Linked DNA regions of Styela clava. The protein of the gene in region 1 interacts with the protein of each later gene in a pairwise test. Links are inferred from orthologs where the notes say so. Each region holds a gene or a part of one and is shown in the gene's direction. Other genes may lie near its edges. The genes, in order: centrosomal protein of 63 kDa-like; spectrin beta chain, non-erythrocytic 1-like; serine/threonine-protein phosphatase 4 regulatory subunit 1-like.

Region 1 (8,026 bases):
AAATGATCAAAGGAAATTTATCTATTAGGCAAAACCCAACTTGATAAAATACATACAATTATTCAATATTCCATATTCAAAAATTATTTTTTAAATTGTATTTAAAATAGTTTAACAACCAAAATATTAATTTTTCGAACCCAATGTATGTTTCTCCGACCCTTGACCCCAGAAAAATTCTCCCCATACTTTACCGTTCAAAAACATTTTGGATGCTTATTCTGAGAGTGTTTTGGAGAGTTGGCACTACGCTCAAAACGCATGCAAAAATTGCAATTGTTACGTCATTGCTGACTTTTTACTAATTGGCCATTGTTATGGTAATAAACAAGGAAATCGATGCTCATGAAACATCCATAGTTGGGTATGCTTTGATTACTGTGATTCTTTTCCAGAGCAGACAAACTGGACATCTTACCTGTGTGTTCTCAGTTTCTTCTGTTACCATTTCAGGTGTTGTTTCAGTTTGTTCAGTCCTTTCCTCAGAAGCGGGGGTTTCAGAAACTGCTGTCTTTGTCTCTGCTGAATAGAATAAGATTTTCATATTCATATTATGAGAGAGGGAGGTCAATAAGTCTTAAACTGTGGTTCTTAATCGATTGGGTGCGACCCACGACTAATAGAAAATTTTTTGAGGAGGCTTGAAGCTAATTAAAAAGAAAAATTTAAATATTTTTCAGATTTGATTTTGTCAGTCTTATTTTGGATATTTACATCTCTTTATTTTGGATATTTACATTCCATCCACATATTTTTAACATGTTTTTTAAATAAAACATACTTTTGATTACTATCTGTTTTCGTAGCCTATAATTGTTAACTAGTTATTCCTGAGTTGAGTCGGGAGACTTCTAAAAAAGGGGCGCGGCCTAAACGATTTGAGAACCACTGGTCATATGGAAAATAAATAAACAAGTCCATGCTTGAAAGAGAAATGAAATTAAATTCATTAGATTCGCTTCGCACTTGAACTACGAATAATTATCTAGATAGCCAGCAACTGATAAGCAAGGATCCAATCATATTTGAAAGAAATGGAATTATTTTACTTTGGCATTGTCCCCATGGGTGTACAACAGGTGGCCCGGCCCGCGAGTCACAACCCGGCCCGTCAGGCCTTTTGTAAGGCCCTTATCAACACTAATATTCTTAAATCTTATGACGATTTGCCCGGTGCATTTATTACTGTAAGGCCAGGGAATAGCAGCATTCTCTTCTTTTGTCCCAGCTGAATGTTTGAAGTTGGTTATATGGCCCACCGACAAAAAATGTTGCACACCCCAAAATCTTCATGCGACCCCATGAGGGGGCGCCACCCCAGTTTGGGAACCACAGACCTATTCTATACATACCATCTTCAATAGTAGACTCTCCTGTTTCTCCAGTAGTGATTTCCAGCTTTGGCAAAGTAACTGCTGTAAAATCTGGAACTCCCGGTATCTTAGGTGGGGTAGTGCTGATTGGTGATGGTGGCAAATTAGACCAATGAGGTTTGAATCTAAAGTTTGAACAGGAAAAAAATAGGCAATTAGCTAAAAAACACGAGTCTAAAACAAAAGTTAAATGTCTAACTAATAGGGCAACCATTGTACCAAACGACATATGAAAGTTTACCCATGAACTAAAAAAAACAGTCAAATTTGGGACAAAAGGATAAAATCTGATATAAATGTAATAGTGAGTGAAAAAATTCACACAGTAATTCGATGGTCACTGGTTCGACCACTAGAAAAGAAGAAGTTCGTCTATATTCAAAATTTGTTCAAAGCAAGCCTCAATGCAATGTAACACTCACTAAATTAAACAATCAAACGAGACATATCTCTGAGCATAGTCACAGGTGAACACACTCACTCACACATTCATTACACCCACCTATCGCTTCCAGGAGTGTATCCATTGCCCGGCATCGAGTCCACACCATTCACCATCATGTTGTTGTCATTGCTATCTGAGAGAGTCCTGTGAAATTGTTTGTTCATTACAAGTAGGGGTGAAAAAAACAATAGAATATTCATAGTCACAATGGTATTGTGGGTAAAATGATAGACAAAGTTGCGTTGGCATCCAAAAATAGTGGTTTTCATATATCAATAAATACAGTTGCTGCTCATTTAAAAATTACCTGAGCACAAAGGCCTATCAATATAATTAATTAAATTTTTGACAAGGTCAAATTTTTATTTTCAAAATTGATTTTTATTTGAAAAAAGGTCTTACCTTGGTAGATTACTCCATGAGCTGACAACCATTAGATTTTTCTCAATTCCTCTCATAAATTTATCACATTTTGTGTAATTCTTCCTCGGTTCTGCAAGAAGTTCACAAAGTCTTTGGATTGTGAAAGGCGGACTGTAAAAGAAAGATTCAACTAATTTTTCCTATCATTTCTCACAGTATTATAAGTTAAATGGGAGCTGGGAAGAGCTGCGGAGTCTGAAAAAAATAATACCAAGCAATGCCATAGAGCCAACAGAAATTTGCTCAAAGTATTGTAACTGATTAAATTTATTTTCATCAGAATGCGACCACTATGGATGTTTCCCCAAGCATCAATCAGCATGCCTCACGAGAACATTTAGATGAGTTGCAATAATTAAAAATCGATACTGCAAATGCTGCGATAGACTATTATAAAATTAGCTATAAGTATCTGTAAGCGGCACGCAGTTTTGCGTTTTAATAAAAATGAGTTTTGAACATGTGAGCCAGTTTGTATGAGCTAATTCCCCAAAACACTCTCGAAATGAGCGTTTAAAATTTTGCAATGGTTAAGTATAGGGAGATTTTTTTGGGGGTCAAGGGTCGAGGAAACTTCCACTGGCCCAAACTATTGAATCAAGAAACATAGTAACACACCTGTCAAACTCTTCCGTCAACTGCAACAATCTTTTTTTCATTTCATCAAAATCATCGTTGGTCGCATTTGCGTTGATTTTCCCAACTTTATAAGGAGCCATATTGTAAAATTCATCTAACACTGACGTCAATTTCTTCATGAAAACTTTCTGTACTTTCTCCCATGGCCCCCTAGTGGAGAAGAATATATTAAACTTCAACAAGGAATACAAAATTTTGCTTATTTGCAAGACAAGAATAATAGCTTAAATAGCTAAGTAATTGTGAAAAATCAAGAACTCCATCAAATTGGTCAAAACTCAGGGATGACCAAAACCGGAAAATGTTCCACATGCATTCTCAATAGCTGGGAAGGATGATTTTTGTAATGTAGCTATTCTAGATATTTTTCACTGATCAAGAATTTAACACACCAAATATTCGATACAATTTGGACATCTTTGAGTATTTGGGTCTAGTATAGTTTAGTACCACAGGTACTTCCAGTGGGCGTAGCATAACGAATTTTGCACATGTTATTCCTAACCCCCACCTGACTATGCAATCCAAAAACTACGTCACTACGACGTCGCCATCACGTCATAGGTCTTGCCAAAGTATAATTACGATCGCCCAAAATGACATCTGCGCCGCCGATAACAAACCCGCTAAAGCCAGCGATCTCTCTCCTATCGTGATCGTTGTGACGAGAAAACAAGAGAGATAGCTTGCTCGATTTCGGGTGCTCGTCTGCGCGTTTTGGACGACCTTTCACGTACTTTGGTGGCCATTATTACGCCACTGTGACGTCGAAATGACGTAATTTTTGGGTGACGTAGTCAGGTAAGGGTTAGGATTGACATATGCAAAAATTGTTGAGCCAGGCCAACTAGAAGTGCATGTGGTACTAAACTATATCAGACCCGAGTATTTTTAGGGCTGTGTTTCTCAAAAAGTGTCAATACCACAAAACTTAACACAGAACCCAGCCAACAACCCAGAAACAAAACTTACAAGATATCTCCGGTCCTTGCAATGTAAGTTATAAACCGATCAAGTTCTTCTGACAGGGGATCTTGTTTTTCTTCATAGCCTAAAAAATAAAATAAAAATGTATGAGAGATAACAATGTCCAGACATCTCCCAAAGGAGGGGTGTCTGATCATATGGAAAATGGTTTCTCTGAAACGGGACAAAGTCACCCGATTTGTATAGTGTGCCGTACTGTAATATCAAGATTTAGAATTCACAGACTCCATCATTGTTTGCCCTACCAATTCTACAATCAGTTTTATTTCTTTTGTTTTTATCAATTATTTTATCGCCTATTATGCTGATTATTGAGTCGAAAAAAACTCATAACGTTACTCATACTTGATAAATGAAATATTGAAAAATACAATTTCAAACAAAAAACTCACCCTCGATGGCCTGAATAAAAATGTTTGTGTCTTCCATTGTTCAAATATTTCACAAAAATCCTATATTCTACAACTTTAATCCATCTTTCGCACTAAACATTCAACAATTACAAACTACTTATTTCAGTCTTTCAGAAAGGACGTCGAGCATTATTCAGATTTATCAATTCGACAAGATTTAGAATTGAGCTAAAATTCTTAATGCCATATTTTTTTTAAATATTTTTGTGTGAGCGAACACATACTTTTCCATCTAAATTCTGTACATTTCAAACCTTACTCGAGGTTTTGTTTGCTCTCCCGATTCTATAATCAGGTATTTTTTTGTCTTCATTTAATATTTTATCGTCTACTGCTGATTATGAATAATACCGGTAAACTTATACCGGTACTTAAATTAAGTAAATAATAAATTCCAATTTACCATTTAGTTTGAAATAATTAAAATTATACTGAACTAAATTTCAATAATTTTTATAATATTATATATTTAACAGAATAATAATTGGTTAACTTTCTAAATCTATTTTCTGAATAAGTATATAGAAACGAGTACGGTACATTTAGTTGGCAATTCGTACGACGACTAGACGTCAACATTATTCTGCTCTCGGTCGCCGAATGTGTTTTCTTTCGCTCAATTAGTTTGAGTTTTTTTATCTGATTGAATATACCATAAATAATCTTCAACCGCATTTTATTAATATAATTTTAATATTAATATTAATTCTTATATACTAATTACCTCATTACTTTTATAAGAATATATAATCCAGTATCAGCTGTTTACACGCTAGGATAATTTTTGTAATCACTGAGGCGCGACAACGAACACCAACAGAAAATTTTACAAAATCGTTGGCGGAAAAACGAAAACCAAGTGAGTTGTAGTAATTTTTTGGACGGGAGTAAATATGGGGGAAGGTATAAGGATTAATTGATGTTCAAAAAAGTTCAAACCAAATTAGAATTAATGTTGACTAATTATTGTTAGTGGTATGTGCTGTTGTATATTTTTATTATTGTTGCAATGCTCATTTCATTGTTTGTGGAAATAAATCTCTCTCTCTCTCTCTGCTCTGTTTTCAGGTTGGCGAAATCTCTCTCACTCTGTTAAATGTAAACCTGTAGTTGCTAATGGAAAACATTTACAAATACAGAAATATTCTTTTTTGCCTTTGTCAGTGTTGGTCTTTTAGTGAACAGCTAACACATGTATTCCACAAGTTTGCTGGATGTGATTAGTTTATTTTTTAAAGCTTTTCCGAATGCCCATATAAATTGTAACAAAAATTGTTGTGATTTATGGTAATGATTAAATAGGGCACAGTATTCTGATTTCAATATGTCCCGACATTTGGTTCAATAAAACAACATTATATTGTCTCTGAAACGAGGACGTCTGTTACGATGACATATTCTTTCTTTGCTAAAAACTCTGAATGCTACAACAGAAAATATTTTTTTAATCTTGTAAACTCGATTATCTTTTTCAAGGAATTCAATAGTAATGTTTTTGAATTGCACTTCCGTTTGGTTTATCTGCAGTGCCGGTTTGTGTTTTGAGGCGATATGGAGCCCCCAGACTTTTTGGGTCTCGTGTAGTTTCGTACCTAACGTACTTCTAGTGGGCGTAGCATAACAATTTTTTGATATGTCAATCCTAACCCCCATCTGACTACGCCATCCAAAAAAATTAAATCACTACGACATCACAATCACGGCATAGAGCTTGCCAAATATACGCACGATCGACCGAAACGGCATTGGCGCCGGCGATAAAAAACTGACTGACGTTATCGGTCTCTCTCCTATTGGAATCGTTGCGACGAGAGAACTGTTCGATTTCGGGTGCTCGTTTGCGCGTCTTGGATGGCAGTTCGTATAGTTTGAAGGGCTCTATTACGTCACTGTGACGTCGTAATGACGTAATTTTTGGATGGTGTAGTCAGGTGGGGGTTAGGATTGATACTTGAAAAAAATTTCATGCTACGCCCACTAGAAGTGTGTTAGGTAAGAAACTACATGAGACCTGACTTTTTCGTAAAGGGGGGCCTCGCACTCACTGTTATAATTAATGTCTTTTTTATGTGGGTTTTTTTTTTTAATAGGAGAATTGTGCTGTAGAGATCTAATTTACTGGAAGGAAAAAAATTTTGAAAGCATTTGAGAGTTTATAGCAAAAAAACAGAATTTTGGTCACGTGATGGCAGAGTGTTTTTTTTATGTGCCCAAATGTCGGGACATATGGGAGTCAGATAACTATAGCCTACTGTCTTCATGGTTTTTTGTTGCAATGATTCTGTTTCTATGTTTTTTTAAGACTGATTCATAAAATTATGTAGCCTATCCCAACATACTGACCTAATAATTTTCATCCAAATTAAAATGCACAAGTTTTTTTTAATTCAACAGGATTGCGTAAATTATTTTTCTATATTGTCCTTTACAGGATAACACATATTAGCAGCACATAATTATGGACACTACAATATGGGAAGGTATGCAGAAGCAACAATTAGATGGTGGATTACTACTGACATCATGTGGTGCTGAACTGCAAGAATTAATGCGGCAAATTGACATCATGGTCCGACATAAGAAAATGGAATGGGAAGGGGAACTAGCAGCTGTACAGGTAACTATTTCTGTATTCTTCGATAAGATAGTAATTTTTTTTTGCTTTCAGCTTCACTCATGCCTTTTGCTTCAAACAAGGCTAGACAAAAGCTGTTATTAAGCCATTTCTAACTAGATCCCAAATAAACACTCTACAAACTCACTTCGCTGTCGGGAGTTATCCAAGCTATAATAAAGGATTGTTGGTAGTAAGCCAAGAAACGTTGAGTTTCAGTGTATTGTTCAAGAATAGAGCAAAATGGTATTGAAAAGCCGCAAAATTGATGTCTGACTGCGATCCCTGGAAAGTGCATTACAAAAAAATATTGAATTTTTTTGGGGGAGGGGGGAGGCATGGCGTATGTTTTTTGAGTATTTATGAGAGTCAAGTGGGAGGCATGAGATTTATCTATACTAAGACTTTTAAACTCGGCCTATATGCAAGGATATAAGGCACTTCGTAAATAATCTCTTCTCACTATTGCAGGACAAACTCGAAGTTCGTGAACAAGAACTCGGTCACACTAAATCTATGTTAAATCAAAAACATCAGGAAGTAGGAATGTTGAAACACAAATTAGATGGGTTTGACGGTAGCCAACGAAACGTGGTAAAACAATACGAATCCCAGTTATCGTATCTTCGCAACGAATTACTACAATTGAAATCGACGTACTCAAAAATGCAGAAACATTATGCAAAACAAGGTGATTATTTAATCAAATAATTTAAAATACTATATAACATTTATTTTACAAAAAATTACTTCGAATTGAGACAGCCATGCTCATACAATTCCTAAGAACACTCCATTACCAGATATTAAGTAATCTATAAAATCAACTAGAAAATAATATCAATAACTTTCAAGTTTATTGATGAAATAACAGGCGACCCAAAAAGATTTTTCATGCAACGCAGTTTTGGGTCGCGACGCAAAGGTTGAGAAACACTGCACTAAGCCATCACACCTACTAATATAACGCAAACAATTTTGTTTTTACCAATTATTCATATCTTCCATTATTTTCCAAATAGAGTATCGACCCTGGCCTTGATCGTAGACTGAAAATATTTGAAATTTCAGATTCGATAGAAGTACTTTATTTTACCTACCCTAGCTGTTATCTTTCAACAGGAAAGATAAG
Region 2 (7,260 bases), on another chromosome or scaffold:
GTTTTAATTACTTTTGTTTTATATAGCGAAGTGGGATGTATTTATTTGCTAATATACAGTTTGAACTCTTATGAACCCTTATATGACTGAGCATAGTGGTACACTGTGGGTGTAAAATTGTTATGAAGAGTTTATAGACCAAGCTTCATATTTGGATATAATTTTACCGGAGCTCCCGAAGTATGCGAACCAAGATGGCGGACATCGGAATGTAATATGTGTACTAGGTTAGGGTTAGGCCATAATTTTAGGTATAAATACTACGAGAGGCTCTTGGCTAGTCTTCGAACTGATAATAGGACTAAAATAAGGAAAATTGGAAAAAAATTATCGCCTAACCCTAACCTGTTACCCATGTTACGTTCCGATGTCCGCAATCTTGCTTCCCATACTTCAGGAGCACCATTTTACCTATCTTTAACTTAAAGCATGCAAGTCTTTATTTTATGGAATAGTTTTTTTTTATCTTATGGGAGAGGAAAGTTGATGATATGACTAACTGACATTATGATATGCCAAACCATGATCTCTTGTACATTTGTCAGTCTATATTGGGTAAGGGAATCATTAGCCTGTTACTTTTTAAATTGCATGGACTTGATAGTGTAGAAAGCCATCAGCATTTCAATATAAGTCTGCTGCAATGACAAATATCTTCTCATCTTAAGATGGGATATGAAATACTCATTCACTATATCTTATCTAGCTCAGTTGACAAGTCCAAACTTAATCAATTTAAAACGGAAAGTCAAATACCAGAATTATTACACTTGGTTTCGATTCAGAATATTCTGTCTGACACTGACTTAAACTGACAATCAAACAAGGAATCATGCCTGACATATTATGATTAAGCTGTCTTGTTGACTTTTCCGTATCTGGGATAAATATGAGTATTCCTAATCCATCATCCCCAGTTTTAAAAAGGAATCTCTGAAGTCTGAATGATATTTAATTATTTTTGTTTTATTTTTATAAGTGAGCATTTATTCCACTTCAGTTTTCTTAAAATCGCCAATTCTATTTACTTAACAATTTTACTCATCGGTATTTTATTATCCGGAATTAATTTTCTGAAGGACTCTCATTTACGCTTCACTGATTTAAATCTTTTGTTTTTCTGCAAATTTCAGTCGAAGTGATGTCGTAATCGTTGTATTCGCGCTGTTATTGTGATTTCTTCTACATAGTAATTGTCATGTTTCGTTTTTGTGAAGCAGTGAGCCGTACGATGCGTATAAAAGGATAATTTTACACATGAATAAGATGGTTCATTGTGTGGCGAGTGTGTGTATCTGCATGGTTTTGATTTTGAAAAGAACGAGATTGTCATTGTCGGTTAATTTCGGGAGTCTGTCAATATATTACGTGCGTAAACTAAGGTTCATGGAGTTCAAATTTTCGGAACTTCCGTTGTTAGCGTAGGTTAGGGTTAGACCATAATATTTTACAGTTTTCTTTCATGTTTTTATTCCGTGAAACGTTTAGCTTTGCCATACTCCTTTACTTCTCAGTATTGAGATTGAAGCTTATCGGTAACAAGTTATGCTTTTTGTAAAATATAGTATCAAGTTACATCGAAATTTACCACAAAACTGCTTCAGGCACAAACAGACTAAAATTAAAGTTTGATAATGATCATTTTGAAGTGAATTCTTGTTGGTATTATTTTTGCAGAAAAGGCTTCAGGTATTGCTGTTAAATTGTGAAAGGGCAGATTTCAGGTCCAAATCCCATGTCGCCACCTCAAGAGTGTAATAAATTAGGATGAAATTCTGGAGTTGGACTCGAGCTTCACCAAAAAGGTTCGCAACCACTGCTCTAACCACATGGCCATCATTATAGGAAATCGCTGCAAAATGTCTGAATATTAGTTGCTCATATTTACACTGAAATTGCCCTCAATTTTCTGTTTTTCTTGATATGAATTGTATAAGCTATAATGATATGTTAGACTTATAATGATATGTTAAGACTTATATAAAGCTGTAATTATCTCTCAAGATGTGTCTGTAATATCTCTGTTCATCTAGATGGAATTTAAAAGTCTATCATGTCATTTATTATGGAATGTAAAATTTATATTCAAATTGTAAAAAGTAGGGTTATAGAACTAAGTCATGCAGTTGATTTGAGGATTGTTCTATTTTTCATTTTCATAAGAATGGATATGGTCCCAATTTATATCTCAATGTCTCCCGTTCTGTGAATGGTTATTGGGCTGTCGACAAGTTAGGAATAGGAATGGATATATAGTTCCAATCACCATTTGAGTAAAACTCTTTAGAGGGCTTAATAATACCATATAAACAGTAGACTTGATTTTAAGCGCTGCTGCATGGGATGTGCCTATAAAATGTATTTTTTCATTTTCATATTTTTAATGTTTGTGGTTGGATTAACTTGGATGTATGCCAATTTTTTTTTTAACCAATGGTACAATTACATTTTTGGGGGTTTGGTATTCTAGTATCTCTACTTTTTATTATTTTTTTATTATAATTATATACCGGTAGCTGACTGGAATGTATAATTTTCGAAGCTCCAGAAGTATGTGCACAAAGATGGCGCACAACCTAAACATAGTATGTGTACCAGGTTAGGGTTCAGGTTGTGCACATATTTCGGGAGCGCTGTAAAATTCTTTATTTATCTATATATCCTCACATATAAGCAGAGTTTAAACTAAAAAAAAAGTTGCCAAACAAAGGGGTCTTAGAGCGCATAACTTGATAAAAGTTAAACATAAGAATAATGGTTATCATTTTCAGTAATTCTCTTCTACAACCGTTTTTTTGTGGTAGGTGCAGCGTGTTATGATTTGTAGGGTCAGCTTATATGCGAATTTTTATAAATTCACTGTTGAAGGGCTGTTTTGCAGTAAATCTTTTCCTGTATGCTCACAATACTGTATATTGATCAATTTAAATGTAAAAATTTCTGTTAGCTAAAGCCATGGGTGTGAGGTGATCCATAAAATCTCCTAAATCTTTTTGATCGCACGAATGTAAACAAGAAAACATCTTCGTGTAAATATTTACAAATTTGTCTAGACAAGGTTCACTCAATTAAGGTGTCTGAACATTCTACACTAATAAATTTGAGATTTATTTTTTAGGAAAGCAGTTCCAATTCTGCAAGGTGGAACGTAATATTTTTTGCATTCATTTTGAGAAAGATGGAAGCTTATAATATATTTGGGGCGCTCCTGAAGCATTTGTACCAAGAAGTCGCACAACCTGAAAACCCTAACCTGATACACATACTATGCTCAGGTTGTGCGCCATTTTGATACGAATACTTCGGGAGCACCATATTTGGTACTCAATTTGAGCCCAAACTAAATTCAATCGCAATCACAACAAATTCTTTGGGCTATTTTTTTTAGCTAAAACATCAGAATTTGGTTTTTGTTGGATTGTGGCAGCATCAGGCAGGCCAGATTGAATTTGGCCCGTGTGCCGTATTTTACCCATGTCAGAGATAGCATTTTGCAATGTAATGAAATATCATTTAGACCAGGGTTTTCCAAAGTTGTCGGCTCTGCGGGCCACAAAATTATTTCTGCATTGTTCGCGGGCCACAATAGTGCCAAGAATAGGTAAACAATGCAATACAAATCGAATACTTTATTGTGCAAACACATAGTTATCAGACATAGCCATTCCGGGCTAATAGAATCCGCATTCGATTTTTAGTTTTCTATGATGCCTATATTGTAAGCATATATTCCCAACCAAAAAGATAGAAAGCCAGATAATAATTTAGACTGCCAAGCACATCATTCAACTTCGCTAGTTGCCTCAGATAGCCATAACACTAGTCCATTCAGTGACATTATTGATGTAACAATATGTCAAAAGGTTTTTCTGATTAATTTTATGACAAAACAACACGGAGTGCGATTTCTTGATTACTTTCAGAATATGATGCGGGCCACAGATAATGAAGCTGGGCCTGGGTTTGGACCACCCTGATTTAGACAGTATTCATTTGCTGCTTTTCCTTTGTATGAGATTTCCATTTCTGAGTCTGTTTTTGTGCCTTTGATGGTGAAAGAGATTCTAAAACTCATTTTATTGCATTGTCGGTATTAAATTTTTCCCAAAATGCCTGTTTTTCGATCTTTTTCATCTAAGTACTAAAATTCTTATATCTTTCAGTTTTAAATGTTAGTGTATGAAAATACAATTGATTAGCTTGGTTGTAAAGCAATACTTCTTCATCTCGTCATCTTCTGGATTCTTTGACACTAGGTGGCACTTTTTTGTGAAGAGCTAAGCAGGTGAGGACATTTTTAAAGATTCATTTAGTTATAGTTTATGATTATTTGACTATGCTCTAAATTTCGTTTTTCATTATTTTTGAATATTAATGAAGATTATCATGATTATCATGATGTTTAATTTCAGTGTAATTTTCATTTTTTTTTGTAATGCAAGAAGGTTTCAATTGTTTTATTCAATTATTAAAACAATGAAGACTCATTTACTATTAAGGTCCCATTTATAGGGACAAAATGGCTCAAATTTGATTAAATTAAATTGCCAAACAAAAGTGAATGATTCTTAAATTTATATTATTTCGATAATAAATTATTTTCCAATTATTTCACACATTTCTCGAAACTGAATTTCTCGACACCTCTATCAGAATTTCTTTTTTTTGAGTAAATTTTGTTCAGTTTGAAATTGAAAACGTGTCTTTTTTCAGGACCTAACCATCAAAAATGTTCAAATTTTTAATGAAAAAATTTCAAGAGGACGTGTTGTGCACTTTAAGCATCATTATTAATAATAGAAGAACCAGATTTTTATTAACTAGACTTTTAATAAGCAAAAAGTTTCTAAATTTCTTATAACACATTCTTTAATAAATAGCCATTGATACAAGCTTTTTATTTGGATATACCGTTTAGACGGCAGACATAGGTGTGTCCGGATATAGTTTGTCAATATTTGCAACACTCGAGAGTTATCTGGTGTCAAAGAGAGTACTTTGCGGTCTACTTGAGTTAATTATATTTCATGTACTTTAGATTTAGAACAAGTATTTTCAATTGCTATAATATCATAAATCAATTATACAATTATTATTCCATGTTTTTTAAATTATGATATAATTTATGGAATTTATGAAAATTTGTTTACTTTTGAACACTTGAATGATCATGGATTTTACATACCGGTAATCATTATTTTTAATTTACTAATTTTTACTTAATCGATTCAATTTTCATGTTGAAGGCAACATTTTTTAAAAATTTGAGCAGTAGTTCATATACCTTGGGTTCTTCATAATTTCTTTGCTTTCTTAGGAGTTTCTTATGTGTGAGTGCTTGGAAACATACTATAATTTTTTACAATATTTGATATAGCCTATTACATTTATAGGAGTTTTTTTTATATCTTCACTCAAACAAGGATATCTATATAATCGGTGTCTACTCACCTCACCTTACCTCAGAGTAAAGATATGTAATTAATGCATTATTAGACTAACAGATTATCTTATCTAGAAAGACAAATTCCGTGTTCAAGAAGTCTCACTACTAGATACAATATTTCTTTATAACATATTGATTTCTTTAATTTTTAATTTTGCAAGCTCTCACGAGGAATTGTTTAAAACCATAAAATGTCTGTTTCTTTAGCCAAGATGGAGCCGTTTGAAAGAGAAGTAAGTTTTTGTTGTGTCACAATATCATCTCGCATGCTTCGTTGTGATGTCATAGTAATGTCAGCTTCTGCTAAGGGTGACATTAGTCTAACATAAATTCACATTAAAAGACATTGCAAGTTTAAACTTTGGGCTTCCATTAGAATTTTTTATCCATTTTTTTTCTAGTAAATATGCTAAAAGAAAATAATTTACTATTTTGAATACTTTTTGTATTTTTGAATTTCGTCATAAGCACGGCAACAGAATATTGATTCTATTATTGATTTTGTAGTGAAAAAACAAGTTATGATGAAGCGGAGGTTTTATTGATTGGTTTTCCACAATTATAAGAACTTAATTATCTAATTAGCAAACCAGGAATTTCTAATCTCAATTACGGTATGTAGAATCACATTATTAAAATTAAAATATATCTAATCATTTTTAATATCAAGAATTAACTTTTTAGAACATAACTAATTTTGAATATATTCCAGTTTTTGGTTCGCTTAGAGCAGGGGTGTGCAACAGGTGGCCAACGGGCCAACAACTGACCCGCCAACTGAAGCCGAGTCATTTAGTGTGAGCCTTGTCAACACTTAGATTTTTCCTCATCAAGCATAAAATCCTAATCACTCACATGAATAGAAATTGTCTTGTCACTGGGTTAAATATTGCATTGTGATAATTTTTTGTCGGAATTCATATGGAATACTAATTTTTTTGTGTGGCCCAACTTGAGGTTCCAATGTGCCCCGACGACAAAATATGTTGAACGACCCTGGATTAGAGCAAGTAATCATAATCTTCATATGCTGTCATGGTTTGGGTGTGCTCGTTTGTTGCTTTTGGTGTCCATGCCGTTAATAAATATTCCAAATATTTACGGTAAAGAAACTAAGGAGTTTATCAAATCAAATATACTAAATTTAGGGGGCTCCCGAAGTATGCGAACCAAGATGGCGGACATCGGAATGTAATATGTGTACTAGGTTAGGGTTAGGCCATAATTTTAGGTATAAATGCTACGGGAGGCTCTTGGCTAGTCTTCGAACGGATAATAGGACTAAAATAAGGAAAATTGGAGAAAAATTATCGCCTAGCCCTAACCTGTTACCCATGTTACGTTCCGATGTCCGCCATCTTGGTTCGCAGACTTCGGGAGCCCCAAATTTAGACCAGTGGTTCTCAAACATTTTAGGCCGCCCCACATATAAATTTTAGAATTTTTTAAGTCTCGCGCCCCACCTCAAAAATAACTACCGGTAGCTAACAATAAGCTACAATTACAAATAACAGTTAGAAAGTATGTTTTGTTCGAAAAACACGTTGAAGATATGTGGATAGAACATTTAAATATCCAGAATGAGAAAAAGTAAGGTAAATAGACAAAATAAGGCGGGCAAGATCAAATTTAACAAATAATTTTATTTCAATTAGCCACATGCCCCCTCAAAATATTGTCTACGCCCCTCTTTTGGGGTGCGTCCCACTGGCTAATTTCCACTGCTTTAGAGAGCATATACATTTTGGTTCGTTTTGAAGCAACTTGTATCATCAATCAAATGCTTTTCATGTTGCAGATTTCAGCTGTCATTG
Region 3 (7,591 bases), on another chromosome or scaffold:
TCGACGACCTCACAATAATCGTATTGACAAAAAAAACTAATTGTTCACGCCCGCCGGGGAGCAAGAATCAATCTAACTAAGGCATATGATTCGATCATTTTAAATTGAACTATTCGAAAACCACAGAAGAACCCGATTCACCAATCTTTTCGAGACATTTAAATTTGGCCTATACAGATATTCCGTACTGGATTGTCTCTAAATCATTATTACTGTAGGTTGAGTGCTCCAAAAGTAAAACTGCCCGAAGGTTCAATACATCCGCGTATTTTTTGTTTGTTCATTTCTGGCCCAAGCCATGTTTAAAAAGGTTTGTGTTTATTGTAATTTTTTTGCGTGTGTGCTGGTGGGTGGGCACATGATATTTCTCATGTTTTAAACTTTTCAAAGGTTTTGTTCGCTCTCCAGAATTCTCCTTTTATATTTTGTGTGTATTATGGAGTCTTCAAAATAAATCTATCTATCTATGAGACAAGGAAAACTGGGGGAAATATAGCTTACCGAATCAATTATGCCAGAATTGCAAAACATGATTGAAAATATATAAGAGTACTAAAATATATTATGATAATATTGGAAGTCTGCTTACAAATTTACGCGGCCAAGTACAAGCCGGAGCGTTAATTGGGCAGCTCTGTGGACTCTTCTCCGTCGTGAGGTGGATGGTTCATGTAACCACCAGTCGTGTATAGATTACCCCACCATCAAGTACACATACATAAAACAAATAACTAGCTTAACACAATCTCAGCCGACATGGACTGAAACCGTGCGAGTGACTGTAGTGTGCCATATGGGTTAGCCCAGTGTTTCCCAAACTTTTTCGTCAACGGGACACTTACACTTTTTATCTCGCTTCGCGGAACACCAAAAAAAGAAAGGGTAAAGTTGATAATGAATAACGGTGTAATGTAGCCGTTCCCAGTGGGTTCTCAATGCGCCGCGAAAATTAACAGGATTGTTTTGAATATTTTACATAATGCATTTATTATAAATGTTTTATTATTTCCTAATTTAAATGCTGTGTATATGGATCAATTCATTTATTTTACTGCAGTTCATCTACTGAATAGAGTTTAGCGAAATGAGTAATTTTTTTCAGCATTCTAGAGTAAAACCAGGCAGAGATGGGGAAGAAGTGTTGACTTTTTGCCTTTATTCTTTCTACTCGTTTGCCTATAGCAAAAATCAAAAGGATTGCTGTAAACTCGTTAATGAACATTCAACAAGCTAGGCCGACGGAAAAAGCCACTACCCCAGTAAGTAAAGGTGACGGCCAGTTAGACGACAACTTCACGTTCCAAAGATCGCCATGGCGACCATTTTAGACGTAACACTTCGATGACGCTCGCGGAACACTAGTGTTCCTTGGAATACAGTTTGAAAAACGCTGGTTTAGCCAATCTTGTCAGATTTCCTCCCGGCTCGGCGGCGTGGCGCATCATGCTGAGCGTCAGAAATACGCTCCGCACCTCTGCGTGGGTTCGCAAGTTTGAACCCCGTGGGCCGTGAGTGATGATTAGGTGCGAAAAGATTGCTGGACTTCTCGCCGCCGTAGGGTGGTTCACGTAACAACCCTTGGTCGGCTACGGCTTCCTCCACCATAAAGTTCAAGCATCTGAAATAAAGACCTGGCTAACTAACCTTATATACTCGACATGGATCGGTAACCTGACGAGAGGCATTGGTTCGCCATACGACTAGGTCTTGTCGGCTCCCCGGGTAAATATGTGTAAATTCTAAATATGAAAATCCTATAATATTATGACCTTCGACCCTTAAAGCGTATCAAATTGTATTTTCTATTCCGCTCTCTGGCTCTGATCTTTGTGGGTCTAGTTCTCTTTTTCCAGTTTTCCGTTGACCTGTCGTTTTCAATCGTTTGAAATTTTTGTAGATTTGAGTTATCACTTAGGGTTCTATGGCTTCGGCAGTTCAACCTCAGCCTGCACAGGCTCCAACAGTAAACGGAAATGGCGGTATGAAGTTGACAGACACTAAACGAGGTAAAGTCCTTCTGGGACAACTTTCATCTGATTTTTTGAGAATAAAAACCGCTGTTTCAACAGGACAATCAAGGAACGACGCAACCCTGGCACAGCAAATGGCGTTACAGCAGCAACAAATGCTGACACAAACTGCTGTTGCAGGAACTGCAAACAGATTGAATTTAACTTTAGTTGAAGCAAAATTAAATAAGAATTATGGTGTTACAAGAATGGATCCATACTGCCGTGTTATTGTGGGACATGCAGTTTATGAAACTGCAACAGCACAAAATGGCGCAAAGCTTCCATATTGGAATAAAACTATTTCAACTACGGTGGCACAGGATTTAAAACATATCAAGATAGAAATTTACGATGAAAGAGCCTTTTCTATTGATAACAGAATAGCGTGGGGTAAAATTGACATTTCGGACGCGATAAAAAGTGGGAAATCTGAAGATGATTGGTGGCCGTTAAGCGGAAAACTTGGCGACGAAAAGGAAGGAATGATACATTTACAAATTTCATGGTCCAAAGTTCAGCAACCAATTATATACAACGCTCCAATGCCGATGATGTTCCCACACGTCTATAATCCTGCTGGTGTACCTATGATGATGCCCGCGGCAGCAGGTGGGTACATGGTGCCACCTGGTGTCCAAGTCGGGGGTATGTATCCACCAAGTCAGCCGCAAACACAAATTCAGCAACCCGCGATCACAGAACAAGATCTCAAACAAGTTAAAGAAATGTTTCCGAACGTGGAGGATAGCGTGATTAAAGCAGTTCTAGAAGCAAGTGGAGGAAATAAGGATGCAGCTATTAATTCTCTATTAAATATGCAATAATAAGTTTGGTTTAAAAAATAGGAATGTAACATGATGTAATATACTTCAGAAAAAAATTCATCCTTATCGTGTAGTCATTGAAGCTGAAACTAGCAGCATCAACTATATTCTTCTAAGATGGTAAAATCTTCCATTTCATAACTTCTGTTGCTATTTCATTTACATAAGTGAAAGTGCGTCTTTTTTAAACTGTCCTCTTTTTTGTATTTAATGTTCCCTACCCATTATAATGATCCTAAACACGGTTGACTGCTAGTCCATTAAACTCAGAACAACAAAAAAACAGAGGATATTCCCATCAAGAATATTCCATCCAAATATTTGAATACATCCCTAATTGAAGATAGTCGATACAGTAAAATTGTAAAATTAGGAAGAATTAAAAATAATTTTGTTTAAAAAATTTATCATTGTAAAGATTTGACATCCGATATCAGACATAATTCACCTTTGACACTGTAATGTGTGAAATATATACTATTTGAATCATTCTGCAATACCAATTTCAATTTATTACGAATTTACAGTTATTTGCTCAAATATCTTTTTTTTTCATAATAGTGCTTATAAATATAGTAATTATACTTGCAACCCCACAACGAGAAAAGTACAGCAATTTTGAAAATCAGTATTCTGGCTATTTCTGACTCGTATTATCAACTGTTTTAAATATGAAATATCCAGTTGTATATTATGGAGAAAATGTGTTTGTTCATCTATTGAAATATTTCAGATATTTTCATGCTAGTGTTGTTTTTTGTACATACCGTAAATATTCTCTTAAATTATGCTTTTAAATAGGCATCAATTATGTTTGTGAGGTATTTCCTTATGTTAGAGTAACTTCTGTCAGTCAGTAGTTTATTTTTCACCAAAATGAAAATGCACTCACAGTGAACATACACTTAAAAAAAGTTGAAAATGACATTTCATATTGAAAGGTGACGCGAACAACCAAAGTTGGTTATCGAGCAGCGACACCTGTGATAAGAGTCTAACTTTGATACAAGTTTAATAGAAATAAGACGAACAATATATATATAAATTAATATATCAAATATTAAAGTCGAAAAACCAAATTTGTTGTCATTTCATTTACTTTTAGTTTTTTACTATTTGTTATGGACATCACTGGTAACCAGACAAGATGCTGCCGTAGATGGTATTCCCATTACCCGGTATAAATATCCAAATCCTTTCCTTTTGCTACTTTGTTAACTGAGCAATGTTAGTTCATTGTTTCCCAAGATCTTTTAGGTTCGACATTACCTATCCAATTTATAAGCTGAAAATTACGGCTGTCGTGTATTTTGGTCTAATTTGGTATCCTTCAGTCTCCTCCACTTCCGTAAATTAATGAAGCCTGACTTGTTAGAATATCTGATTGTTATCCGGGAGAAACCAATGCTGCTATTTCATGCTTCATAGATTAGCACCAAAGTAAAATTGTTCTAAATCTAGTTGTTTATGTTTATTATTTCATTTAATCATTGTTCTTATACTACTATGTCTAATAATCAATATTTTATTGTTAATATTTTAATTCAGCTTTAAATTAAAGTTTATCGAAAAATCTAGTTTTAAATTCTATACAAAGGACGAAGAATTAATAAATTTCTGTGCAAATCAAAATCTGCCTGTACTTCGCAAAGAGAAAATTTATTATTTCTGAATTGGATAAAAGTGCCAGATTTTGCTCATTTTGACAATATAAATCAACTAAAATGACTGATTTACGGATCGTCCTAAACCTTCCGAACGAGGATATGGAGGTGGACATGGACGAGAACTTTGACGACCAGGAAGATGACAATAATGAAGGTGACCAGCACGGTCAAATGTCATTTAGCACAATTGGTAGCGGAATTATGGCTTTTAACGATTCTTCAATTCCGTCACCACTCGATGTCACTACACCTGAAGAGCTTCTGACACCGTTAGCAAGATTGAGATGTTTCGCTGTTAGTGACAATATATTTAATCGTAGAATGATTGCTCACGATGCTTGTAATGTTTTTGAAGCCGTGCAAAATGACGAGAAAGATTTCGAATCTGCTATTCAGTGTTATCTCAAGCTTTCAGAAGATTTAGAACCGTCAGTTCGAGTCGAACTCATGGAACAACTTGCTGAGATAACAGAAATATTTCATACAAGATTGCTAGACAGTGCTGTGGTGCCTATTTTACTCCGATACCTCACTGACGTGAATAATCAAGTCCGCAAAACCTGCCATAGTGTTTTAGTAGACATAACCAAAGCTGGGTATTTAAAAGTTGGTCAGTTTGAAAATGAAATTTTACCGTTGCTAAAGGATCTCACTTCACGTAAACAGGCCCCTGACGAATACCGTACAGAAGCTATCGCCCTTGTGTGTCAAATTTGTGAATCCTTCGGCTCAGAATTCGCAAAAGAATATTTTTTGCCAATATTTTTGGATTCTTGTTCTGATGACACTATATTTCATGTCCGTAAAGTTTGTGCCGCCAATTTTTCAGCATTTTGTGACATTCTCGATGATGCACTTATCAACAAAGATCTTCTGCCGCGATTTATCGGTTTATGCAAAGACAATGTATGGGGGGTGAGAAAATCTTGCGCAGAGAGTTTCCCTGACTTTGCTAAACACATGTCTGAAGAAGTTCGTATCAACACGCTCTCTCCATTGTACAGTGGCCTTCTATCAGACCAATCTAGATGGGTCCGCGTCGCAGCTTTCGAGTCTCTCGGACCTTTTATATCTACGTTTGCTGACAGCAAATCGGCGAGTGATAATTTTAATCAAGCGGCAACAGGTGTGCCTGGTTATAAAATCACTGATGATGAACTGAAATATGATTTTGATTCCTTCCTTTACTGGCGTGACCCGATACCACCCGTCACTTTCGAAGAAGATTTTGATGATGTCACTCCGATGGATCAAAACAAGGAAACAGACGAAATTCAGTCTCAAGTTTACGTGAATAGTTCTAATCCCACCCACCAAAACGAGGAGGATAAACCGGATGAACAATTAGAGCAAAAAGAAACAAGTAAGCAGCTGAAAGTTCAAACTGCAGTTGAACAACAGGATGATGACGTTTATTCACCGACCAAAGATGATGTTTTGAAATCGATTGAGTTTTCAGCGGAAAAAGAAAACATGCCGATTCATTTTGATATTAATTTGGATAAAGCCGAAAACGAGAACGCTGAGTCAGCAGAAATAAAGGATGATAAACAAGAAGAAGAATATGATGAACTTAACGCCGTTCCTTCGATAAATTTAACAACAACAAATGGAAATGTCGAAGTATTTACAGATGATTCTGGATTGGAGAAAACCACAGAAGAAGTAATTCCAAATGACGATTCTGATTTAGCAAAAGGAGACTCGACAGAAAGTTCCATTACAGAAGAGACCAAAGAGCAAACTGAAACCGTCACAGAGAAAACGCCCTCGGCTGCAGAAAACGGAAATCAAGAAAGCAGCGAGGACAGTGATGATGAATACTATGATGAAAACGAGCCACGAAATTGGCAAAGTCCGAGTTTACAGGAATACCCAGATTTGTATGAAACGGAATCGAGTGATAATATGGAAATCAATTATCGAATGTTCAGTACGCTTAATGATATCAACTACACTCGTGATTTTGCCGACCGTATTTCCGGATCAGATCACTATGCCCATTTCGATCCTATATCTTCTGTACATAGTCCCACTTCCAAAGCATCAAGCCAGCAGTCAGTCATTCCACAACAGTTGCTTGATAATTTCTTATCAATGACTGATCCGTCTAGAAAGCAAACCGTAGACACTGAAATAACGATGCACTGTGCTTATAGTCTTCCTGGTGTCGCGTACACTCTCGGACGAAATAATTGGCATTGTTTGAAAGACGTTTACCAAAAGCTGGCTTCAGACGTACAATGGAAAGTTCGGAGAACAATAGCGTCATCAATTCATGAATTGGCAAAAATTTTAGGCGAAGAATTGACAGCGACTGAGTTAGTTCCAGTTTTCAACGGATTCTTGAAAGATTTGGACGATGTTAGAATCGGAGTGTTGCGCCACCTAGCAGAATTTTTAAAGCTACTCAAACCTGAAGTCCGTGGAATATATCTTTACCAACTAACGGACTTTCTCACTATCGATAACAGCCGTAATTGGAGATTCCGCTATGAGCTGGCAAGACAATTGTGCTCTCTCACTGAGCTGTATAACTGTGACGACATTGTGAAGTATATTTGTCCAATAACGATGCGTCTGGCCACGGATAGAGTCGTCGCAGTTCAAGTGGAAGCTGGAGGACTAATCGGGAGGCTTTTGAACGAACTACATGAATCGGGGGATGAGAGAAATTTCCAGATTTTTACGGAGCGAGTTACGTCCGCATTGGCGAAGAGTACTCGCTGGAAAGAACGGGCATTATTCTGCAAAATATGCAACCTTATTCTACGAGAGCTGCTCTTACCGTTCAACATATTTTTAAAGTATTTTTCAACTACATTGGTCGAGATGGCACGCGACGGAATAGTGAATGTACGAATAATCGCAGCCCAAGCTCTCTCGTACGCTGTCCAAACGTTCTGTGATGAAGGGGAGGGAGAGGAAATGTGTGCAATGCTCAAAGAACTTCAAAGTGACAAGGACAGAGATGTCAAGTTTTTTTCAGCAATATCTTGCTGATTTCAGAACCTGCATTTTGCATCTTAATATGAAGTTCAATATAAGCTCTGTGATTTGCTTCAGTGAACTTTTGAAGATCAATGAA

The links.
Region 2: the proteins of centrosomal protein of 63 kDa-like (region 1) and spectrin beta chain, non-erythrocytic 1-like interact in a two-hybrid assay, tested with the Homo sapiens proteins (2 studies listed by BioGRID and IntAct). The link is inferred for Styela clava from reciprocal best matches to the Homo sapiens genes CEP63 and SPTBN1.
Region 3: the proteins of centrosomal protein of 63 kDa-like (region 1) and serine/threonine-protein phosphatase 4 regulatory subunit 1-like interact in a two-hybrid assay, tested with the Homo sapiens proteins (2 studies listed by BioGRID and IntAct). The link is inferred for Styela clava from reciprocal best matches to the Homo sapiens genes CEP63 and PPP4R1.

Annotation. Positions count from the first base shown.
Region 1 is NC_135258.1:3,855,256-3,863,281, forward strand, and holds the start of centrosomal protein of 63 kDa-like, read left to right. Parts: upstream 1-5,019; 5' UTR 5,020-5,139; intron 5,140-6,711; 5' UTR 6,712-6,738; coding exon 6,739-6,897; intron 6,898-7,365; coding exon 7,366-7,585; intron 7,586-8,016; coding exon 8,017-8,026. Other genes in the region: uncharacterized protein LOC120339798, read right to left, coding at 419-522, 1,353-1,498, 1,876-1,962, 2,221-2,352, 2,860-3,030, 3,853-3,931, 4,260-4,296. UniProt on the Homo sapiens protein: Required for normal spindle assembly.
Region 2 is NC_135262.1:2,863,559-2,870,818, forward strand, and holds the start of spectrin beta chain, non-erythrocytic 1-like, read left to right. Parts: upstream 1-4,168; 5' UTR 4,169-4,285; intron 4,286-5,607; 5' UTR 5,608-5,637; coding exon 5,638-5,679; intron 5,680-7,260. UniProt on the Homo sapiens protein: Fodrin, which seems to be involved in secretion, interacts with calmodulin in a calcium-dependent manner and is thus candidate for the calcium-dependent movement of the cytoskeleton at the membrane.
Region 3 is NC_135250.1:1,384,290-1,391,880, forward strand, and holds the start of serine/threonine-protein phosphatase 4 regulatory subunit 1-like, read left to right. Parts: upstream 1-4,518; 5' UTR 4,519-4,560; coding exon 4,561-7,506; 3' UTR 7,507-7,591. Other genes in the region: toll-interacting protein A-like, read left to right, coding at 1,922-2,836. UniProt on the Homo sapiens protein: Regulatory subunit of serine/threonine-protein phosphatase 4. May play a role in regulation of cell division in renal glomeruli. The PPP4C-PPP4R1 PP4 complex may play a role in dephosphorylation and regulation of HDAC3.